4 linked regions of the Arabidopsis thaliana genome follow. The protein of the gene in region 2 interacts with the protein of the main gene of each other region in a pairwise test. Each region holds a gene or a part of one and is shown on either strand. Other genes may lie near its edges. The genes, in order: ATSPO11-1, AT1G60460, SPO11-2 and RHL2.

Evidence for each region.
Region 1: the proteins of AT1G60460 (region 2) and ATSPO11-1 interact in binary tests that used the Arabidopsis thaliana proteins (3 or more experiments, as listed by UniProt).
Region 3: the proteins of AT1G60460 (region 2) and SPO11-2 interact in binary tests that used the Arabidopsis thaliana proteins (3 or more experiments, as listed by UniProt).
Region 4: the proteins of AT1G60460 (region 2) and RHL2 interact in binary tests that used the Arabidopsis thaliana proteins (3 or more experiments, as listed by UniProt).

What each region holds. Positions count from the first base shown.
Region 1 is NC_003074.8:4,230,884-4,236,048, forward strand, and holds ATSPO11-1 (Spo11/DNA topoisomerase VI, subunit A protein), read right to left. Parts: upstream 3,324-5,165; 5' UTR 3,310-3,323; coding exon 3,255-3,309; intron 3,126-3,254; coding exon 3,026-3,125; intron 2,854-3,025; coding exon 2,780-2,853; intron 2,699-2,779; coding exon 2,597-2,698; intron 2,451-2,596; coding exon 2,377-2,450; intron 2,275-2,376; coding exon 2,258-2,274; intron 2,170-2,257; coding exon 2,100-2,169; intron 2,025-2,099; coding exon 1,988-2,024; intron 1,842-1,987; coding exon 1,794-1,841; intron 1,709-1,793; coding exon 1,650-1,708; intron 1,556-1,649; coding exon 1,524-1,555; intron 1,429-1,523; coding exon 1,323-1,428; coding exon of another isoform or gene 1,299-1,322; exon of another isoform or gene 1,177-1,298; coding exon 1,056-1,176; intron 960-1,055; coding exon 896-959; intron 807-895; coding exon 677-806; 3' UTR 512-676; downstream 1-511. Other genes in the region: AT3G13160 (Tetratricopeptide repeat (TPR)-like superfamily protein), read right to left, coding at 1-295; AT3G13175 (uncharacterized protein), read right to left, coding at 4,377-4,697. UniProt on the Arabidopsis thaliana protein: Component of a topoisomerase 6 complex specifically required for meiotic recombination. Together with MTOPVIB, mediates DNA cleavage that forms the double-strand breaks (DSB) that initiate meiotic recombination.
Region 2 is NC_003070.9:22,273,537-22,279,538, reverse strand, and holds AT1G60460 (uncharacterized protein), read right to left. Parts: upstream 4,056-6,002; 5' UTR 3,940-4,055; coding exon 3,901-3,939; intron 3,803-3,900; coding exon 3,694-3,802; intron 3,588-3,693; coding exon 3,504-3,587; intron 3,342-3,503; coding exon 3,315-3,341; intron 3,104-3,314; coding exon 2,995-3,103; intron 2,947-2,994; exon of another isoform or gene 2,898-2,946; coding exon 2,822-2,897; intron 2,398-2,821; coding exon 2,377-2,397; intron 2,291-2,376; exon of another isoform or gene 2,247-2,290; coding exon 2,050-2,246; intron 1,913-2,049; coding exon 1,768-1,912; intron 1,685-1,767; coding exon 1,370-1,684; intron 1,274-1,369; coding exon 1,003-1,273; coding exon of another isoform or gene 974-1,002; exon of another isoform or gene 754-973; intron 742-753; coding exon 653-741; 3' UTR 532-652; downstream 1-531. Other genes in the region: GolS4 (galactinol synthase 4), read left to right, coding at 1-58, 140-358.
Region 3 is NC_003070.9:23,742,301-23,747,251, forward strand, and holds SPO11-2 (sporulation 11-2), read right to left. Parts: upstream 3,086-4,951; 5' UTR 3,052-3,085; coding exon 2,968-3,051; intron 2,872-2,967; coding exon 2,788-2,871; intron 2,679-2,787; coding exon 2,549-2,678; intron 2,461-2,548; coding exon 2,323-2,460; intron 2,248-2,322; coding exon 2,159-2,247; intron 2,081-2,158; coding exon 1,952-2,080; intron 1,875-1,951; coding exon 1,780-1,874; intron 1,700-1,779; coding exon 1,637-1,699; coding exon of another isoform or gene 1,633-1,636; intron 1,562-1,632; coding exon 1,485-1,561; intron 1,415-1,484; coding exon 1,287-1,414; intron 1,158-1,286; coding exon 1,023-1,157; 3' UTR 755-1,022; coding exon of another isoform or gene 689-754; 3' UTR 542-688; downstream 1-541. Other genes in the region: AT1G63980 (D111/G-patch domain-containing protein), read left to right, coding at 1-267, 364-486, 689-754. UniProt on the Arabidopsis thaliana protein: Component of a topoisomerase 6 complex specifically required for meiotic recombination. Together with MTOPVIB, mediates DNA cleavage that forms the double-strand breaks (DSB) that initiate meiotic recombination.
Region 4 is NC_003076.8:640,763-644,930, reverse strand, and holds RHL2 (Spo11/DNA topoisomerase VI, subunit A protein), read right to left. Parts: upstream 2,378-4,168; 5' UTR 2,274-2,377; coding exon 1,743-2,273; intron 1,561-1,742; coding exon 808-1,560; 3' UTR 537-807; downstream 1-536. Other genes in the region: AT5G02830 (Tetratricopeptide repeat (TPR)-like superfamily protein), read left to right, coding at 172-473; PRR7 (pseudo-response regulator 7), read left to right, coding at 3,470-3,779, 3,881-4,042. UniProt on the Arabidopsis thaliana protein: Component of the DNA topoisomerase VI involved in chromatin organization and progression of endoreduplication cycles. Relaxes both positive and negative superturns and exhibits a strong decatenase activity. Involved in cell-elongation processes.

The sequences.
Region 1 (5,165 bases), on a different chromosome or scaffold from region 2:
TGTTCTGCTCCTCCAGGATCTCCTCGACCCACTCAAACTTCTTGGCTGCGGCGAGACGGCGAACGGTTCTCTCATAGACAGCTATATTCTTCCGGAACCACTCTGCTTGGCAGGCTTTCTTGAACTTCTCCGTGATGAATTTGGGGTCGCGTTCGTCATTTACGAGGGTGATGAGGGACGGTTTGGGTGGCGAGGGTGTGGCTGCAGCAGCGGTAACGGCGGAGAAGAAGCGGCGATTCGTGTGGGTGCTGAAGCTGAAGTTGCCACGAAGGAGAAAGCGAGAGAGAGACGACATCGTTTTTAGCTGTATGCAAAGGTTTTTCTCTTCTTTTTTTTGGATCGGAGTGTTCAAAGGTTTTTAGTCAGGGGAACGGCTTTAATACTTCAAATTAGGTTTGGTAACAATATAAAGCAAATGAACCCTAAATTACTTTTGTATTATTCAAAATTTCAAACTTATTACTCATTAGTCATTAGTGAATGTACTTTGTATTATTAAAAATTAAAAACTGAGAATTATTTTTTATAATCTGTATATTTATGATTTTTCCATTAAAACTATGTTCATTTGTCCATTCTACCAATGCATTTGGTTTGCACTAAAAAGCTTAGAAAGAGTCATAAAAAAAACAATGAGCATTACCTTGAGTTGGAGACTAGTTATCTCGTATGAAGCTCAAGGAGAGCTTACTTCACGACGAATCTTAGAAGGAATATATACCTCTGACAAAAAGGACAGTGAGTGAACTGAGAGTGCTTCGATCTCAAACTTGACCCCTCTTTTCAACATCGTTTCAAGTTCCAACCTTAGACGACCAAAATCGTTTTGATCAAGACTAGTTTTTGTCATTTGGTTGAAATGTAAATATAAAAAAGTCAGGGAAGTTTTTCATACCTCCATTGTGGCATTTCACGCTTCAGGTAGCATCTAAGCAACATTGCTTCAGTTCTTTTCTTATCTGTCCGGGGAAGTTGTTACAATCTCAAAAAAGGAAGCAGTGAAAAATAGGAAAATCTAAAGATTTAAGGCGATAAGGTGTTTAATGATCTCTTACCTTCTTCTGTCAGTGGCAAAAGACACTGTTTGGGAACACTATATACCTCAGAGTCTGAAGGAAAAGCTCCCAACCATTTCATATCTGGTGCTCGTAATGATTCAATATCATAGGCCATTTGCTTACAGAAAGAAAACAAGTGACATAAGGAAAATGGTTCAAAATGAAATGGGTCAGTGCCATATCACATTATCACTATCAACAAAAACAATGCAAGCGGTGAAATTTTCCGAGTTCAGTCATCTATATTTTGTAACAGAATCTAACCATGGAGCCAAAACGGTATGTGGCTAGGATCTCAAAGCCATATGGATCACAGTCGACTAGACAATGCACAGGTAGATGCAACTTCTCCATCAGGAGTCGCAAGAACCTGGAAAGAATCTGTGTTATTCGCTGATATATTAATCAATAGAAGATAATGTCTGATAAAATAGTATTCCAGGAACCTGGGATTAAGTTATGTACCTTCTTGTTGAGACATCTGGATATCCTCTTCCCTGCCAAAAACAATCGTAACTTTGATGTCAAACATAAAATGGAAATGAAAACTAGTCAAAACTGAAATCAGTAAGAATGAAGCAGATTTCTTACTGTGATAACAATGCAGCGGTTCGTCTTGCAAAACATGTCATTTGCTAAACGCTGGAATACTATAAACCATGGATGAAAGCGATTTAGTCATGAAGAAAGAAAACCATCTTCCTAGTTACTACATAAATAAGAGGTCTTTCTTACCTGTTTCTTTTTCCACAACCAGTATGTACTCAGCTAAGCTAACAATATCTGCAAGCAGGAAAATGACATCCAATTATAGTTCCTGATGCCACCATAGATAGTGAATCTTATACTTCCTGATATCAGCTGAGATAAGGATTTGACTTCTCTAAAGAGCATAAAGCATCACTTAAAATGATTGCAAATATATGTACCTTCGACTTCCTCTACAAGAACAGGAACGGGATATGCCTGAAATGAAATCACTTGCAGAGTTATACTTCCTGATGCCAATATAAAAAGTGAATCTTATGTTCAAATTCTTACAGTGTTCAAGCTGTTTAAACAATCAAATTTCCTTCCAGCTTCCCTAAATTTTAACCAACCCATCACCAACCTACAACACAAAAGAATAATGAGGTGGATCTTAAAATAAGGACATGCCTCAAGATAGAAGCATTGCACTCGTTATCAAGAGCACCCACCCGTTTCCAACAGAAACCTGCAAAATATCACATGAATGAAAAAGTAATCACATCTTCAATCGCAGCTTATAATAACTCTTCAGAAGGAAAATTGAAGGTGAAAGTATTAAAGTACTAACCACATTCAAGTTGTACCGACTACACTGAAAAAGAATGCATATATCACCAATTGCACGGTCCACAATGGATTGTGCTGTGAAGTAGACGAAAACAGTGTTACTAGAAGGCCAAGAACACAACAAAGAGGGATGCATAACTAATATCCGTATAAAAATCTCAATACGTATTCGTTTAGAAGAAAAACATAACTAAAACATTATACGTTGCTTCCAAATTCACCTTTGAAAGCTGATGGATGCATGTAGTAGATATCTCTTTTCGAAGCATGTCTATTTTCTTGCAGAAGTTGTTGGACTATCAACAATACTCTTAGCAACATATCTGAAAGTAAAAACACCGCAATGTGATGCTATATTAAGATAACACTAATGTACTTGTAGAATTATCTGAAACCTGACTCACCGATTCTGTAGGTTTGTGGTTCCTTCTTAAGAGTGAAAATTTCCTGACCCTTTGGTTTATCAGAGCTGCATAAGCTATAGACAGCAGAATAAAATGGTAAATTCATGAGGTCTTAGTTTTCAATACTCGTTGACGTTGTGCTTAAATCCTTCAAAAATGTCTCGAACCAAAGACCAAACACGTCTGATTCTTCAATCAAAGAAAGTGAAAACAAAATTGAATAATCGAGATCGAAGAGAGACAAACCAATCAGCTTCTGGATTCATGCAATAGTTCCTGAATTGATTGATGGAAATTTTTGGAGATCTTCCTTCAGCCAGATCTACAACGACCGATTGAGTAAAATCTGCTCAAAAAACCGAAACATAGTGATGAACAACGGAAGAGCCAGCGAAGTCATCGACTAGAAATTTCGACATAGATTAGAGGACAAATTACTCAATACGATTCGGAAAATTTTGGGATTTTCTGATACCTTTGATCCTTTGAAGCAAATTAGTCGATTCTGAAATAGCGAATTTTCCCTCCATCTCTTTCGAGTTTCAAAACTGAAAAATGCAATGGTCGACGAATTTTTGTAGACGGGAAGAAAAGGGATGGGTGCGAAAAGCTTGCCGTTAAAACCTTCGAATTTAAACATGCGTGTCGTTTAGTTCCTACTTTCCATGACGTTGGGCCATTGGCATTTAGGCCCGATACGTAACTGACGTGTCATTTTAAAAACGCATGTGTTTTTAAACACGTTGGGCCGTTGGCTTTTAGGCCCGATCCGAAACTAGGCAAAGTGATTGTGAAAAAGATTCATGATAACAATCAAACCAATATAAATCGATTTATTCAGACTTGGAGACATTTTAGTGATGCCAATATAAAATAATCATGTGCACTAAATTTGAAATAATTAATGTGTATGGTAAACTAGATTAGAATTAGTTCTAGACTTCTAGTGGTCGAGATTTGTTCATAAGCTTTATGCTCGGACACGTGAGGAACATACCAAAATGTTCGAATCTATTATGCCATACACTTATTTTAATCATTTCTTCTCTATGATAGATTGCTCACCTAATTTATATATAATCTAAGAATATACTACTTAGCTTTAACGTATTTTATCCGATAACGAATTCATGATACCAAAAAAGTTCTAAAACAAAAGAGGCATCTTGTATTATTTATAGTATTTCTAACTAAAACACAACACTGATAACATTTAAATTGCTTTGTTCCGTTTAATTAGTAAACAAATGAAAAGCTGTCGCGTCGGTGGTTGGGTTTCATTCGGAAAGATTTAAAAGTAAAGCGCACGGATTTTAAGGTCGTTCAACATTTAAATTTTTTTTGAAAGTAAAATCATATATCAATGCAATGTGTAATCTTGTAACGTATAAACTAATGAGAGATACCTAAAGAAAAGAAGCCTCGCGCCTAAACAGAAACATAAGATTAAAATAAGTAATATAGAAGCATAAACTTAAGCAAGATTTTATTCCTCGTGAAAATATTACATTTTGTAATTTTATTTTCTCTAGTATTAAAAAAGGAACAACTAATTAACGGAAATACTTAAGGAATTAAGAACAGAGAGGTCTCATACTTAGTCAAGTTTGGTGAAGCTATCAAAGAGAATGTCTTCGTGTTGTCCGCCGACGACATAGTCAAGAATCCCTTCCGCCGCCACTTTTAAGCCTGCGCCTTCGCCTGGGATGATGGTAGACGAAACCGGGAGATCGGAGGTGCGTGCGAAGAAGAAAACGGCAGCGAGAAAGAGAGCCGTGGAGAGAAAAAGTGGCCAGAAGTAAGATAGAACGGTGAGGAAACCGGGAGAATAAGCGACGAGAGCTACGGTGAGGAGAGATAAAACAAAGGCAAACACGATTTGCAACTTGAACTTCAAAAGCTTCTCCCGGAACTCCATCTCCGATCACCGACAAAGATCTGTGAGTCTGTGACTGTTGTGTTAACACGAGAAAGATGGAGTGAAGAGAGATAGAGATATATCTAAAAGAGAGATAGTACAATGCTAACTCTCTCTCTGTCTTTCCTCTGAGTGTCTATACGTAAAGAAATAGGAAAGATTCTCTGTGACAAGGATAACGTCAAAATCTCAAGTTATTTTGTTTTTAAACGCGTTTGAAAATTATACTGTTTTTCTTCTAACGAAAATGATAATATATTTTTAAGATTTTTATGTTACTTTGTTCTGTGACTTGTATGAACATTTTTTTTTTTGTAAAGTTGTCGTAAAAGTCAAAGAATGAAACATTTTCTGACATAAATAGTAAATCGTACAAAGCTAAAATAATGATAAGAGAGATATTTTCAATTCAGTTATAATGTTGTCCGTTTTGCATGATTGAATTTTTAACTTTGGATTCAGGCCGAC
Region 2 (6,002 bases):
GCGTCACCCGGAGAACGTGGAGCTGGAGAAAGTCAAAGTTGTTCACTACTGTGCAGCTGTAAGTAGTTCTGTCTTTGCTTTGAAACCCTGAGCCCCTTAAGCTTGTTGCTGAAATTTGATTCCTTTTTTCTGTTGATAGGGATCCAAGCCATGGAGATACACAGGAGAAGAAGCTAACATGGACAGAGAAGACATCAAGATGTTAGTTGATAAATGGTGGGATGTCTATAATGATGAATCTCTCGATTTCAAATCGAAAATCCCTGCAGATGCGGAAGAAACCGTTACAAAATCAAGCATCCTAGCTTCCGTTCTTGAACCAGAAATGACCTACTTTCCTGCTCCTTCTGCTGCTTGAGATATCTTGCAGGGAAGTCACAAGACTTGGTGTGTTCCTCTATCTGTTTTCTTTTGATATATGTATACATAGTTTGAAATAGTATTAACCAGAAAATAGAAACCTTGGTGAGTTTTTTCTCGACCCGAGAGGTTTTCAAATAGTATTGCTAAAGTGTGTAAGTGTTAAAGTACTAAGGAAATGAAGTGTTTGTATTGCTATATTTATGTACGGATCAGAAACATATCACTGTGAAGCTGTACAGAACAAATATACTACTAATGTTAAGCCTAGAATCAGAAAGTGCCCTATTGACTATTCCTGCAGCATAGTCGCCAGACATTTGAACTGTGTATAAGCTTTAGTTGCTGTAGCATCATATTCATGCGTGGAATTTTCTCGATCTGAATGTGATTGAAAAACAAATAGAGAAGTAAGTGATGCAAAATTGTGTTACTGGCTTTGGACAAACTAGCTCAAGAACACAACAAACTTGCAGATTCTTACAGATTTGATCATGTAAGGCTTTTATAAACAAGTCTATCCAAAACGATGAGAATTTGTAAGCAATAACATATGCAAATGCGTAACATATATTTTCACAATTTTACTATCTACTTGTCAGAAGCAGATGTATCATTCCAGGGAGCTAGAGTAATACTCACCTTCTACTTCCTCATCTTCAAAGAACGACGTCTCAGACTCGCCATCAAAAAACAGAAAAGGAGCAGCTTCTTGGTCTTTCTGGGGTTTCCTCTCATTCATTCCTATAACCGTCACGATCTTTCTCTGGATATAGTTCTCGACTGTGTCACGCTCAACTTCTTGTGTCTGAAATCCAAGAACAGATAGGCAATCTCCTTGGAAGTCTAAGTCAGTAGAGGAGAATATTAGGCCTGCTATTGATCTTGCAAGGTCAGGGACATAGCTGCAAATCTAAGAAAGATAAACAACAACAACAAAATCTTGGTCAAACCTGTATAAATTTAAGAGATTGACACAAACAACAAAGGAGAATAACCGAGAGAGCACCTTACGAGAATGTGAGCTTAGAAGAAAACCCTCATGTTTAGCCTTCAAATTGTCCAAAGCATTTTTTATTCCCTTCTTCAGAAGACTTATACCAGGCCCATTCTTCTGCCTTGTTGGATATTGATTGTGATACCAATGGAGGGCGATTTGTATTTGAACATATGAAGGGAAATTGTCCCACTCGAGAAACACATGTCCGTCTTGATCATTCACATTCGCCAGGATCAAACCATATTTTTTCCAGTCAATCTTTTTCAATGCGCTCAATGCCAAATGTGGAACAGGGGAAGGTAAGAAATTGTCAAAGTATAGAACCTGGGGAAATCCATTAGTTAAGATCAGCCAATCATACATCACATCTCAATATGAGCTTTTGTATTAGAGTGAGTTTAACAAACCTCTGTTTTGCCGTTGCATGATCTGCTGCAATGCTGAGTTGACTCTAGCAAGTCACTTATCACAATAACCACTTCCATCGTCCCTCCAACTCTCTTATGTTTGTCTTCCTGGCATACTGTTCCACTTCCAACTTTTAGATGCTCTCTGAAAGTAAATATACCAAGATTTGTCAGACTTAACTAGTGGAACTGGAAACAAGAATGGTGTTACATTTTATATAAGCCGAAGTAAGTTAAGTCGTAAGAGTACCAGAAACAAGAATGGTGTTACATTTTATATACCTATCAGAGAAGCAATAGTCACACATCGTATCCAAACAGTTAGCATGCCTTAAAACATAGTCCTCAAGACCAGACTTCAACCGTTCAAGATTGGAGGCAGTAAAGCATGGAGTTTTGTCAGCGTTCACTGCAAAGACGTATTGAGTTTGATTACCAGGAGAAGTCCCTTGTTTAACCATCAGATCCAATGTGACATTCTGAGAGGAAGAAAAGAATCAGCTTTGTAATTCCATGATTTGTTTGGTTCTCTTTCTAAATTACCATGTATAGGGAAACCAATTTTCTAGACAAAATTGTAAATCACCAAAGGGAGTCACTTGAACTTACAAGTATCTGTAGAACAATGATCTGCAAGAAAACAGGATACAAATATCATTACAGTGTAACTTAAGCAATCATGAGGGAACTAAGTTGACAAAATTGACTACACTCAAATGATAGGGCCAGAAGGCCAACAATACCAATTTAAAAGATATGCTAAATATAAACCACTAAACAAGCTTCGGTTATTCATGATACAGATTCATTGCTTGACCAAATTAAAGCAGTAGCTTAAACACTGGTTAACTAATGAGCGACCTTCAAACATAAACTTTCATTCCATTGGAATTCAGTACGGTTCTTCTTCCCTTAAAGATGTAATATTTTGGCTCTTTATCTTGGTTCTATAACAAGTGGTTAGCAGTGTTTTTGTAACGTTGTGTTCTGTACTTGAATCCAATTGAAATAAGTAGTTACAAGAGCAACAAGGTTGCAGAAGAGAAGGGAAGACCTTTTGAAAGAAGCCAATTATCGGTGCCACGAGAACATCCATACTTCCAAAAACACTCAGGGATACTTCAGTCCCACTGAAAACAACACAATCCGAATATATAATCAAGTCAAGGGCACTCACAGTGGCTTAGAAATCAGTGAAATAAGATATAAATTGAGGAACTTGCACACCTAAACTTTGCACCATTCTTAGCCTGAGAAGGTTGTCTTTTCAGTCTTTTGTTCGCTATATACTCATCCAGATTTATATGATAATAGTATACCTCATCGTCAGTAAAGCCTGCACTTCCATCACCACAGTGGAGGAAGAACAATAACAAGTTACTTAGTTTCGGTGACTCGAACTTAATGTAGACAACTAACAATCAATCATATAACCCAGAGAGGAAAACAAGATATGTTTCTCCATTGGACTTACAAGCAAAACCAGGAAAAAGGCTAAAGCATTTAAAACCATAAGCAAGATTTGAGGTCAATATAGCAAAACTTACAAGTCGTTTTGACGGAGAGTAACCCATCTGCAACACATCATTATCCACAGTCAGAATCGCATTAACGTATTACAAAGATAACAGAGAAGCGAACAAATTCAGCTCAATTTGTACAATTCTAAATAAAACTAAAATTTCATAGTTAACATTCAATAATCGAATACTGAAGATGCTAGTAATGTAACTGACCCCAAATCTTCGCTCCATTGAATTCTCTTGGGCACCTCAAATTCTGAAATTCCTCCAAATTGCATCCAATTCCCGTATCGGCAACTATACACAGCATCAAATAGACAGATAATGTGACCAATTTAGCGAAGACAGATTCGATTTTCATCGAGGGCGACGCAGAATCAAAAACAAAAGAGAGTGAAATTACTCGAAATACAAGTAATCGGAGGATCTCTTTCGGTGGATTGGTCAAGAAGAACTGATAATCTACAGAGATCTTCTGCTAAACGGCATCTTTGGAAAGCAGATGAGATTAACTACAGAATTTGAATTTCTCAGAACAGAAAAAATAGAAAAATCTATGAAAAACGGAGAAAGATCGATCAGAGAGTGGTGAAGATGATCGGTGACTTACTTGTAGAAGAAGCTTCGGAACCGGAGCATTGTTTTCCATGGCAGAGATTCTCCGCTTTCGAAATTGTCCCGCGTATAGCTAAAATTTTGAATTCCAAATCCTCAAGCACTGTGTCACTCTTCTACAAGTAGTCCAGTGAGTGTCAAAATAGATACAAGGATATCCACTAGAAAAATGATTTTGGGCAAAATATGATTCATAATTATTTTGATATAAAATTACTATTTTTTTATTAGACATATTTCTTAGAAATAATTATTTAATGTAAGCTCAAATCTGACTAAATCAATTTAGATTTCTGTTTAACACTTTAATTGTAGTCTTAAAAGTTATATAATGAATTATTTACTGAATTTTTTTTATAGTAATTTGATATAGTATATTTTCATAAATGGAGAAGAAAAAAAAGCCAAGAAACAAAAATATGGAGGAAATAGTTTGGTATTTTGTTTTGAACCCCATAATGAATTACTAGCTAGGCCATAAACTGATGGCATTCCGCTGTCAAATATATAGCCAATGAAAATCTAACTAATATAGAGAAATCATATTTTGAAGTACATTTTCATGAATCTAAATTCTTGTTGGTCTATTCCAATTAAAAAACTAATGAAGAAATATTGAAGAGGTAAATACTAAAATAGATAATCCTTTTCTTTTTTCTTACAGCAGTAAGCAGCTAATCTTATAGTAGCATAAACAAATAATATGGAACCCCGATCAATCAGACCAATCAATCAACCATATAATAACTGTAGAAACCATAAATGGGCTTACTGGAAAATATTCACGACTTACTGAAAATTTCTCATTGGTTCACTAACAAAGTATATGTGTTACAGAAAGGAGGTTGTGGAAGTCATGATCATTATTAAAAAGACGCTAAGCCTTTCCATTCGTGCGCCACACTATTCTTTTGTCTTCGTCGTTTGCTGACTTCTAGTTTTCAGCCAGGTATGAGATCGAGGAAGTCTTAGAAATGAGTTCTAATTCATTCACACAAAATGTCCTCGTGACTTTTTCCCAATTTCTTTATATACAGCTTCACTAGTAAGGTTTTAGTTGTTATTTTCTCCATTTTTATTTGACGGAGTTGTTATTTTCTTACCAGTCAAAGTCTTAATATTGTTAAATAATTAATATCGAGAATTTGGAAATGTGTTTTTATATGTATGTTTGTTCAAATGCTCTAACTTTGTTTATTTTGTATAGAACATGGTCGTATGGAAGTTCAGAAGAACGTGTAATAGAAAAATATACGAGTACGCTAGTCCAATAAACTCGGACGACTTGTATTCGACTTGTAAATCTATGAATAGGAAAATAGATTACAAATTCATTTAGGTATAGATATAACTTTAAATACTTAAGCTAGCTAAGAGCCTAGTATTTTATTTTTATATACGATGATGACCTATTCATAACGACCGGTACTGGTTAAACTGTAATCTTTAAATTTCCTATAAAATATTTATCATGTGTTTGTAATTTTTATTTGTATCATTTTACTTTTATAAAATACCGATACCTTATTGATCATTGACTAGGTTATAAACATTTATCACTATTTTTTGTGAAACATGCCTTGGTTGGTCCGTTGTTGAAGAGTTAAGTAAATTAAATAGACGGATGAATCTCATGCTAATAAAAAAAACAGACGCGTGGAAGTTTTGGAACACCGGTATGATGTTTTCGAAAAATAATACTCATATTTTGTAAAATAATTATTGGAAACTAGAAAAAAAAACAATCATATCACATAGTTAATAAATTATCTGTCTCGTTTAAATCGTTTTTAAAAACAGAACTGTTAAATCTACAAAAGTGATTTTCAACACGGTGTGATTCTTATAATATTTAGTCCAACGCTTCATGGAACGCAAGTACCACTTAGTATAATTAAAAGTCCTTCTCACCGAGATAAAAAACAAAATCTCGTAATTACATCATCCCACGATTAAGACAAACACAAAGAAGGGTTCCTTTCCTTTCAACAACACCGGTATTATATATAAACTCATAGTCCATTGGTGCTCTAACATGTCACAATTTGGGTTATAATATGAATTATGTTTAATGCATTCGAGTTCTAATAAAAAAAT
Region 3 (4,951 bases), 1.5 Mb from region 2:
GGACTGGGTATCAAAGACCGGCCAAAGAAAATAGCTGGTGTTCGTTACGAAGGGAAGAAAACCTCTTTTGATAACAGTGATGATGATGATGATGATGATGATGATGATGACGAAGAAGACGAAGAGGAAGATGAAGACGAGAGTGAAGCAGATGATGATGACAAGGACTCTGTAATTGAAAGTTCTCTTCCCGCGAAAAGGAAGCACGATGAAATCATTGAACCCAAAATCAAGTTAAAGAACCTGTGCAAGCAGATTGTTAAAAAGGTTCGTTGTCAATTTATTTTGAACTGTCATTGTATTCTTCTAAAACATCCCACCACTCATATCGACTTATATGTATATGTGCAAAAACATTCTTAGGATGCTGGTAAAGGTGGATTCATGAAGCTGAAACAGCTAAAATCTCTGATCGATGAACAAGCACCATCAGTTCTTTCAGAGTTTTCTTCAAGAAAAGATGCTATTGCTTACTTGAAACTTAAGGTAATGCAATCTTAGCTAATCTTTATGCCAAATCTTCGTATAGAATCTACATTAAGCGTATGAAATTCATTATATTTGAGATTAAAGAAGTGTGATAGTGAAGTTAGTAAACATAATCATTTTAAAGTGGGATTCTCATATTCTACACAAAGTTCCAAAGTTTGTCATTCTTACTGATATTGTTCTAACGTCCTTGTTGCAGCTGGAGCGAAGTGGCAAGTTTGTTGTGGAGGGAAAGAAGATTAGTCTTGTATCAAGCAAGAAGTGAGCGAGAATTTTTGGTTGGAATTATCATTATACCTGCATAGGAAAGTGGAGATTAGGACAAGTTTTGTTACTAAATCATCACAATGCCATATGTAAACAAAGATCATACTTCAGTTTGGAAAATTTTGATTTGATTGTAATCTATTTTTACATTCTATTAGAGTTTGCATAAAACTTCACCCTAATAAGTTACTCTCTTATATTTGGAACCAATATAAAGCAAACGCATCTTTATTGGTGGAAGACCTTACATGTTGGTGTTTTAAGTGTTATATGTATTTGCCTTGCACGATCTTGGTAGCTATATATTTACCGAGATAATTATAACCATGACAATAGAGAGCTTCAATTTCCGCTCTTTTACCAGTTTGAACCATCAGTGACAACTCCTCTATGTAGTTTTCCTGGTCAGAAGCAAATGTCAAAATCAATTAGGGTATAAATGATAGATTATAGATTCGAATCTTAGAATTGCTTCGGCTTGACCATTACATCTGATCTCTGCTTATAATGTATAATGTATAGTTGGTTACCTGCAATATTTTGGAGGACAATAAGCTCTTAGCAATCTGTGAATCTTTTGGCTTTAAGGGAACCAAAGACTCTTCTGGTATCAGATTCAGATCATCTCCTCGGAGACCAATCCACTTCACATTGCAAGCTAAAGAGGATGCAGAAATTATCATTGTAGAGACTTGGAGATTATTTGGTGCAAACAGCTAAGTCTTTACCGTATCTGTATGCTTCAAGTCCCATCCCTATGCTTCCAAACTTGAAGGTGCATAGTATAGCTAACCCAGCTGGATTCCTGACCTCTCATTTATGAACATATGAGCACTAAAGTTTTATGTTAACAAAGAGGAAGATGTTTATTTATGCTTACCAATCAACTAGAACAAGAATTGGCAGATCAGGAAAAGTTGTGCTCATCCGGTGGAGGAAAAACCTAAAAGATTTAACTTCCAAGCTACTTAATACCACTGACTACATTGCAATATGGTTTTGTAACTGAGTTGAAGAATTGACCTTGTGGCAATATCCGGATACCCTTTCGCTGTGATGAACACGCAAGGAATGTGATTGAACACACGATCTTCCACGAGCCGATGAAAGATCGCATGCTAAAAACAGATTCTAGGAGTGAGTTACAGACAATTACGACATCTCTCATATGTGCTTGATTACATCAAGAAGCTACCTTTTCCACAATAATGATATAACGAGCATCAGTTCTCATGATGGTATTGTCTAGCAAATTCAAGTCTCCAGTTATAGCAAAACCTGAAGAACCACAGGCCGAACAATCTACAGCTTCCTTACCTGGTTCCTGAGTGTAAAGTAAAGAAATGGTCAGAGATCACAATGTTAGCTACATAAGGATTGCTAGAAGCAAGTAATAACTCACTTGTAGAAATAACCTTCCAGCAACAAGGCCTCTGCTTGAAGCCATAATACCAAGACTGTATCTACTACAACGTAGAAGTGCTACCACATCTGCTAAACCAAAGCACGACCAAAAAATCAGCTCAAAAACTCTTTAATCCAAATGCAATTAAGCTTTAGATTGACCTTGGACACTTCTGTTAACTTCAATCTGAGATGAAAAGTAATCAGGTGAATCACAAAGCAACTTATAGAAGAGCTCTCTTTGTGTGACTCGTTTCTCTTGAAGCAGAATCTGAAAGCATATTTCCATAACTTTCCACACTGTTTCAATAAAATCACAACCATTTTCTCATACCATTCTAATCAAAGATTTGGGTGAAGATCACAGAGAGAGACATTGAGCAATTACCACGAACAAAAGCTTTAGCTGTTTTAGCATTCGTCAATGAACTCTTAGTAAACGAAGTAGAGAGGAATATATATGAAACATCTGTGAGTATCCCTTTGTTTATACAACTATTGCTTCTCTTCCTATTGATCTGTTCAAACGATACATTTCAATTGTCTTCAAAAACCCAGAAAATCACGAATTCGAGAAAGCTATAACGCGATCTAAGAAACGGACTTAAGCACGAGATTAAGTAGTACCAGAGAGAGATCGGAGATAGCTGGATCTGGGGAGTTCAAAATTCGGAGGAGATTGAGAACAGAAACTTCGATTCTAGCACGAGCCTGTAACAACGAGCTTCGATTTCAGTCAGAACTACGAGATTCGACAGTGAAGAAGACTAGTGATTCGATAAATTCAAAATTGGAAGCGAAACTTACTTCGTGAGGAAGAAGAATGTCAGCGTAAGAGAGGTGTTGATCGGAGAAGAACTTCATCGATGATAGTCCTGAACTTTCCTCCATTTTGAGATTTTTTTTCCGATTCCGCTTTTTTGAAATTTTGATTTGAATTTGATTGAGAGAGACAGAGAGGCGCGCGTCAAGTTTCGGGATTTGAGATTTGCACTGTCTTCCGTTTTGTTTATAAGAAACCGGCATGCAGTTCATGATTTTTTTTCTCATGTGGAACTAATTGTGTCATATATTTTATTTTATTTTTTAATTTTATATATAAGCCAAAAATTTAGCCTAACTACAAGCCAAAATTGTAATTGTTTTGCGGTTGTATAGTTTTAAGCTATCAATAACTATATTTCAATGTGGTAATCAATTGATTTTTGTAGATATTTAATTTACACAATAAGTTGAATCGGAAAGTTCAATTTTATATACTCTCTTTGTTTTTTATAAGTGATGTTCTAAGCTTTTATTTTTGTTTTTAAATATATGATATTTTAAAATTTTAATGCAAAATTTATTATATTTTCATTGGTTTTGATGATTTTTATTCCACAGATAATTTTTCTATTGGTTTATTAAATAATAAATGATATTTTAGTTTAAAGTAAACAAAAATTAAATAATTTATTAAGTGTGTATTCTCTTAAAACATCAACTAAATAAAAATTATAAAAGAAAAAATATATTTTAAGAAAATGGATCCACTAACATTTGATTTACATTTGTACATAATTTTATGGTTTATGAGAATGAGAAGCTTCCACGTGCATGCATGAGTTTGCATAGGTTAATTACATTTGGATGTATAATTATTCGAGCGGTCAAAGAGATTCTTAACAACCACAACCACAATAATTTGCTTAAGTCCATTTATCCGTATTTAATGCCCAACATTTTACGCGACTTCATGATTTCTATAAGTTTCATTATCGGTAGTATAACTTAGTAGGGGATGTATGGTTGGACGAACGAAATTTCAAAATGAAACTTTGCGAAAACGAAATGAAGGGGGATGCGAAATTCATAAAAATATCCCACTTTAATCATATAAATGTCTCATACTTAGAGTTAAAAGATCAATGATATGTTCAAATTAACCACTATATATAGTCCATATTACGTGGTGGAAATATCATTGGACAATGGAACAAATACGCAGAATTCTTATGGTATCGAGAAAAAAAAATCTTATCGTATTAATTCGTTATATAAATTATTTTTTTTTATATTTTTTTTTGACAAAATGTGAATATTATTAATCCATTATTGTGCATATAAATATCTATAAACAACGACAAGGATGATATAAATTTAGTGATCTAAAACAATCTCTAAATTTTAGCTAGTTCTCAAACCGACCAGACGTGCATTTCAGGCTCACGAGTGTGTGTATGGAGTTGGTACACTATATTTAACCACACGTTTGAAATGCAAATAAAAGCAAATTAATTACTACTTGTTACATGTAAATTTATAAGCAAGTTAAGCCTTTACCGAACATTCCCTTTGTCATGGGAAAACATCAACAAGAACTTTGACCATAAATATAACTAGATTTTGATCGGTTTATATGAAACATGTGAGTAGTTTTTCCACATGAAGTTAAAACAATCGTTACAATTTACATATTCTAAAAACATCAATACATATTACGAATTGGTGCCGAAATATATAAATTTAAATAAGCTAATCAATTTATTCTACAAACTATTCTCAAAATGTATAAGACCACTCAATATATATACCATCGATGTCAATTTTTGTTTTTTTAAAGATTAATATTTACTATTTAGATTTCAAAATATGGGTTGAAGTACATTTGACATGTACATGCATTTTTGGATATATATTAATATATGATTCTATATAATATATAGATCCAAAAACGTTGTAAAGAGATATATAGCTAGGAAAAGGAGGAAAGACTTAGGCAGTTGAACAGAAAAGTTAGGTGAATATAGTT
Region 4 (4,168 bases), on a different chromosome or scaffold from region 2:
CAAGACACCAATACATTCTCTCTCTCATGTAGTAACTTTTTGACTCGGTAAACATTTCAAACGGGAACAGCATACATGCAGCTTAAGTTAGGACAAAAAAATCAAATGTTGTTGAATTTTATGCCAGTAGAGACTAAAAAACACTTGTAACTAACTGAATCTCCTTTGCAGGTGACGTTGTAATAGATGATGTGTTGATTATCATAGGAACCGATGAAGCAAATACCGTTTCAGGAAAGCAAGAGATTACTGTGCAAGAAGCGCTAGTGAAGCTTCTACGAGATGAATTGTCTCTTGTGGTTCTTCCTGCTGGACAAAGAAATATCATACAGGATGCACACTGTGTAGATGATGCAGACCAAGAGAACACTAAGTCATTTGTTAGTATATCCTCAACGAGGAGACCTGCGATTCTGGAGAGGTTGATGGTTACAAAGGCGTCTCTGTATCAGTGGTTGCAGCGCAGAAAGTAGCTGCCTCCGACTGTTACATTACTAATCAGTCATCATTGTATTTTATGCTAATTCAAACCATATGCAGAAAAGAATGGGGAAAGATTGCATATCATCTCAATGCCCATCATATTGTATACAATCTTCTAAATAAACAAAAGAGTTGTCTTCTAAATAATCATCTGACAGCTATCTTTCCAGTTCTGTGTAGATTCAACCATAAATTTAAAACCAAATTTCGATCTTTGCAATAATAATTCACATGCTAAGAAACAGGCAATTGCATTATCAAAAATTCGAAATTTGTAGAGTACACTTGTTGGTCTATCTAATTGATCAGGAAGAAACCTGATTATCAGAGCCAATCCTGCTGCTGCAGTTTCAGGGGCAAGTAAACTTCCGATAAATACTGGAAACCAAAAGAGCTCAACGCCTGAATCTCAGCCTTTTGCTTCGTTTTCACCATCAGGTTAAGTTCCTCGACCCACCCGGGATTTTTCTTCACGAAATCCTCCTCTAGCATATCCTTCCCGGTCTTAATATCCTGCTCAGTCATCGGCAACCTACACTGTTCAGGTATCTTATACTTGTCCAAATCACTCGGCCTAATTCCAAGCCACTTAATATCAGGCGTAGTCAAGTTTGCACTATCATATGACATGTTCTTCGACCCACATCCATACACCGACAAGATCTTCAATCCGTAAGGATCACTATCCACCAAGGCAAGTACCGGAAGCTTAAGCTCCATTTTCATTTTCCTCAAGAAGAGCCTTGTAGCTACATCAGGCTGGCCTTTTGCAGTCACGATGATACAAGGGAACCGGTTATAGAATCTGTCTTCAGCTAACCTCATATAAGCTGCATCTTTTTCAACTAAGAGTATGAACATAGCATCACTCTGCATATCTCCAACCCGGTCAATGTTTGGTGGAATGGCTTTCCCACCCATTCCCATCTTTGTGCAATCTATCATGTCTCCATTGTCACTGAATATAAGCCTTCCCACCACCACACCTTTCTCTGCTGCAATGACATTGAGACTTGACCTTGTGCAACCGAGCATACATGAGACATCATCCAACACAGCATCACTCTGTGTCTGGTCCTGAAAATTCAGTAAGGTTGCGAATTGGTTCAAAAACCTTCCAAAATCGAAACTACAAAGAATCAATGCTAGAACTTTCGATTCAGGTTTACAAGAGCTGGATCTAAAACAGTGACTATCATTCTCTATTTAATGGGAAGAAAGTATCATCTCAAGTAAAATTGAAAGCAAGAAGAACCTACCTGGAAAAGCTTAACGTCGGTGTAGAAGAGATCACGCTTAGTAACGTGAATGTTCCTGAGGCAGAGTTGGTGGATAAGGGCGAGGATACGAGTGGTGATGGTGGTTTTCCTGACAGAAGAAACGGAGGCAAATGGACGGAGGGTAGATTTGTCTTTTAGCACTATACGGTCGAGCTCAGGAACATACAGCTGATTCGAGGCGGCGCGTGAAGGAACACTGAAGGAGAAGCCATCACCGGCGAGAATAGAACGGGCGATCTGGACGATGACTGTCTCTATCTCTGTCTGCACGGAGGAGAGTGAGAGATCTGCGACTTCACGACAGGAAGATGATAGAGAGAGGTCAGCTAGGGTTAGAGGTTTCGATGAAGAGGAGGAGGCACCGCCGGCTCCGGCGGCGGCTTTGATAGAAGAGGAAATATACGATTTGAGAAGCTCCGTGATAACGTCGTCTGATTCCAGAATGCTTTTGAAAGGAAGTTCCTCCGCCTCGTCATCTTTTGATCGCTTTCGCTTCTTCTTATCCGCCATCTGTAGATAGCCACGACGACGGAGACGCGGCGGCCCAGAGAGTTCTGGTACTAACAATGGCGGGAAAATTTACCCTTTAGGTCAACGTATCTCGTGAATGTTATTTCTAGGGTAAACTAAAGGGGTAGACTTAGAAACGCATTTATTAAGTTAATTAATTGTGCTTTTAACGAGATGTCGATATGTCCGAGTGGTTAAGGAGATAGACTTGAAATCTATTGGGCTTCGCCCGCGCAGGTTCGAACCCTGCTGTCGACGATAGTTTTTTGAATATTTTTTATTGGGTTAAAATCTTTTTGAATGGCCCATATGGTAAGCCCAATATTAACTACATCTATAAAATCTTTAAACGCTAGTCTCTTCCGCCAAAATCTATTCAACGGTCCAGATGAGTTTACCACTTGACGTTTTCCTTACCCACCATTACACGTGTCAGTTCAAAAAGATCTTAATAATCTGCCACTAGCCTCCTGAACGACTGTTTTTGATATACCATCCACGTCACTAATCCTCGCCAATATATGATGTGGAAATATCCGCTCTGACGTGGAACTTCTCGAACGTTCGGGACCTCTAGTTTTGTCCATGTCAGATATTACGATTTTTTAATTTCCTTTTTTTTTTTGTTGGCCCGAGACAAATCTTTCTAATATCTATCTATCTCCGGAAAAATAAAAATCGGTGGCTTATGGTCGTCTCCGATTTCCACTCTCTGGGAGACAGAAAAACCTCATAATCTCAAAAATTGTTCACTGTGTTTATCTTCCTTCTAAAGTTCTAAGAAGCTTCGATTCTTAATTCTGTTTATCGATTTGAATTCCTTGTTTCTATTTCCCAACCGTTAGCTGATTGTGCTAGATCCATTTTTCTGGTGATTGATGCAACTTCTGGAGCTCGATTCTTCGTTCTAGTATTTGATTATTGTAAGATCAGTACTCTCTTGGAATTTAGATGCTTTTGTATGGTTGGATTTTTATTTGATGTAATTTGTCTAGATTCGATTTTTTGATGATTCTTCAAAAAGTTACTTGATTAGTTGGTTTTTTGAGAATTCGTCGTTCTTCAACTCTTTTTTCTGTTAATCTGAGATATTGTACGATTCTAACTCCTCTAGCTATTGCAATAATCGAAATTAGGGTTTATGGCTGTGTTTTGATATTTTGATCATTTGAATTCAGCGAAGCAGAGTTGGTGTGATGAATGCTAATGAGGAGGGGGAGGGTTCACGTTACCCAATCACTGATCGAAAGACCGGAGAGACGAAATTCGATAGGGTTGAGAGTCGGACAGAGAAGCATAGTGAAGAAGAGAAAACTAATGGAATTACTATGGATGTGAGAAATGGGAGTTCAGGTGGACTGCAAATTCCATTGTCGCAACAAACAGCGGCAACTGTCTGTTGGGAAAGGTTTCTTCATGTGAGAACCATTAGAGTTCTGCTTGTCGAAAATGACGACTGCACTCGTTATATCGTTACTGCACTTCTTCGCAATTGTAGCTATGAAGGTCAGTTTTGAAGCCTATGGCCCAACTTTAATCTATAGCGCATATATGTACCCGTTTCGGTTCTGTTTGTTGATTGATTATTATTAACTCTGTCATGGCAGTTGTTGAGGCGTCAAATGGGATACAAGCTTGGAAGGTGTTAGAAGATCTAAACAATCATATTGATATTGTGCTAACAGAGGTGATCATGCCTTACTTATCTGGTATCGGTCTCTTGTGCAAGATTTTGAACCACAAATCTCGTCGGAACATCCCTGTCATCAGTGAGTTCTTTTTCCTTGGTCGTTTTACATTGAGCTCTTTCTTTTGAAGTTACACGATTTGTTGAGTCTTCTCTAGCGTATGTTGGAAAGTAGATGCTTTTAACTACATTCCCCTGTGAGATTTGT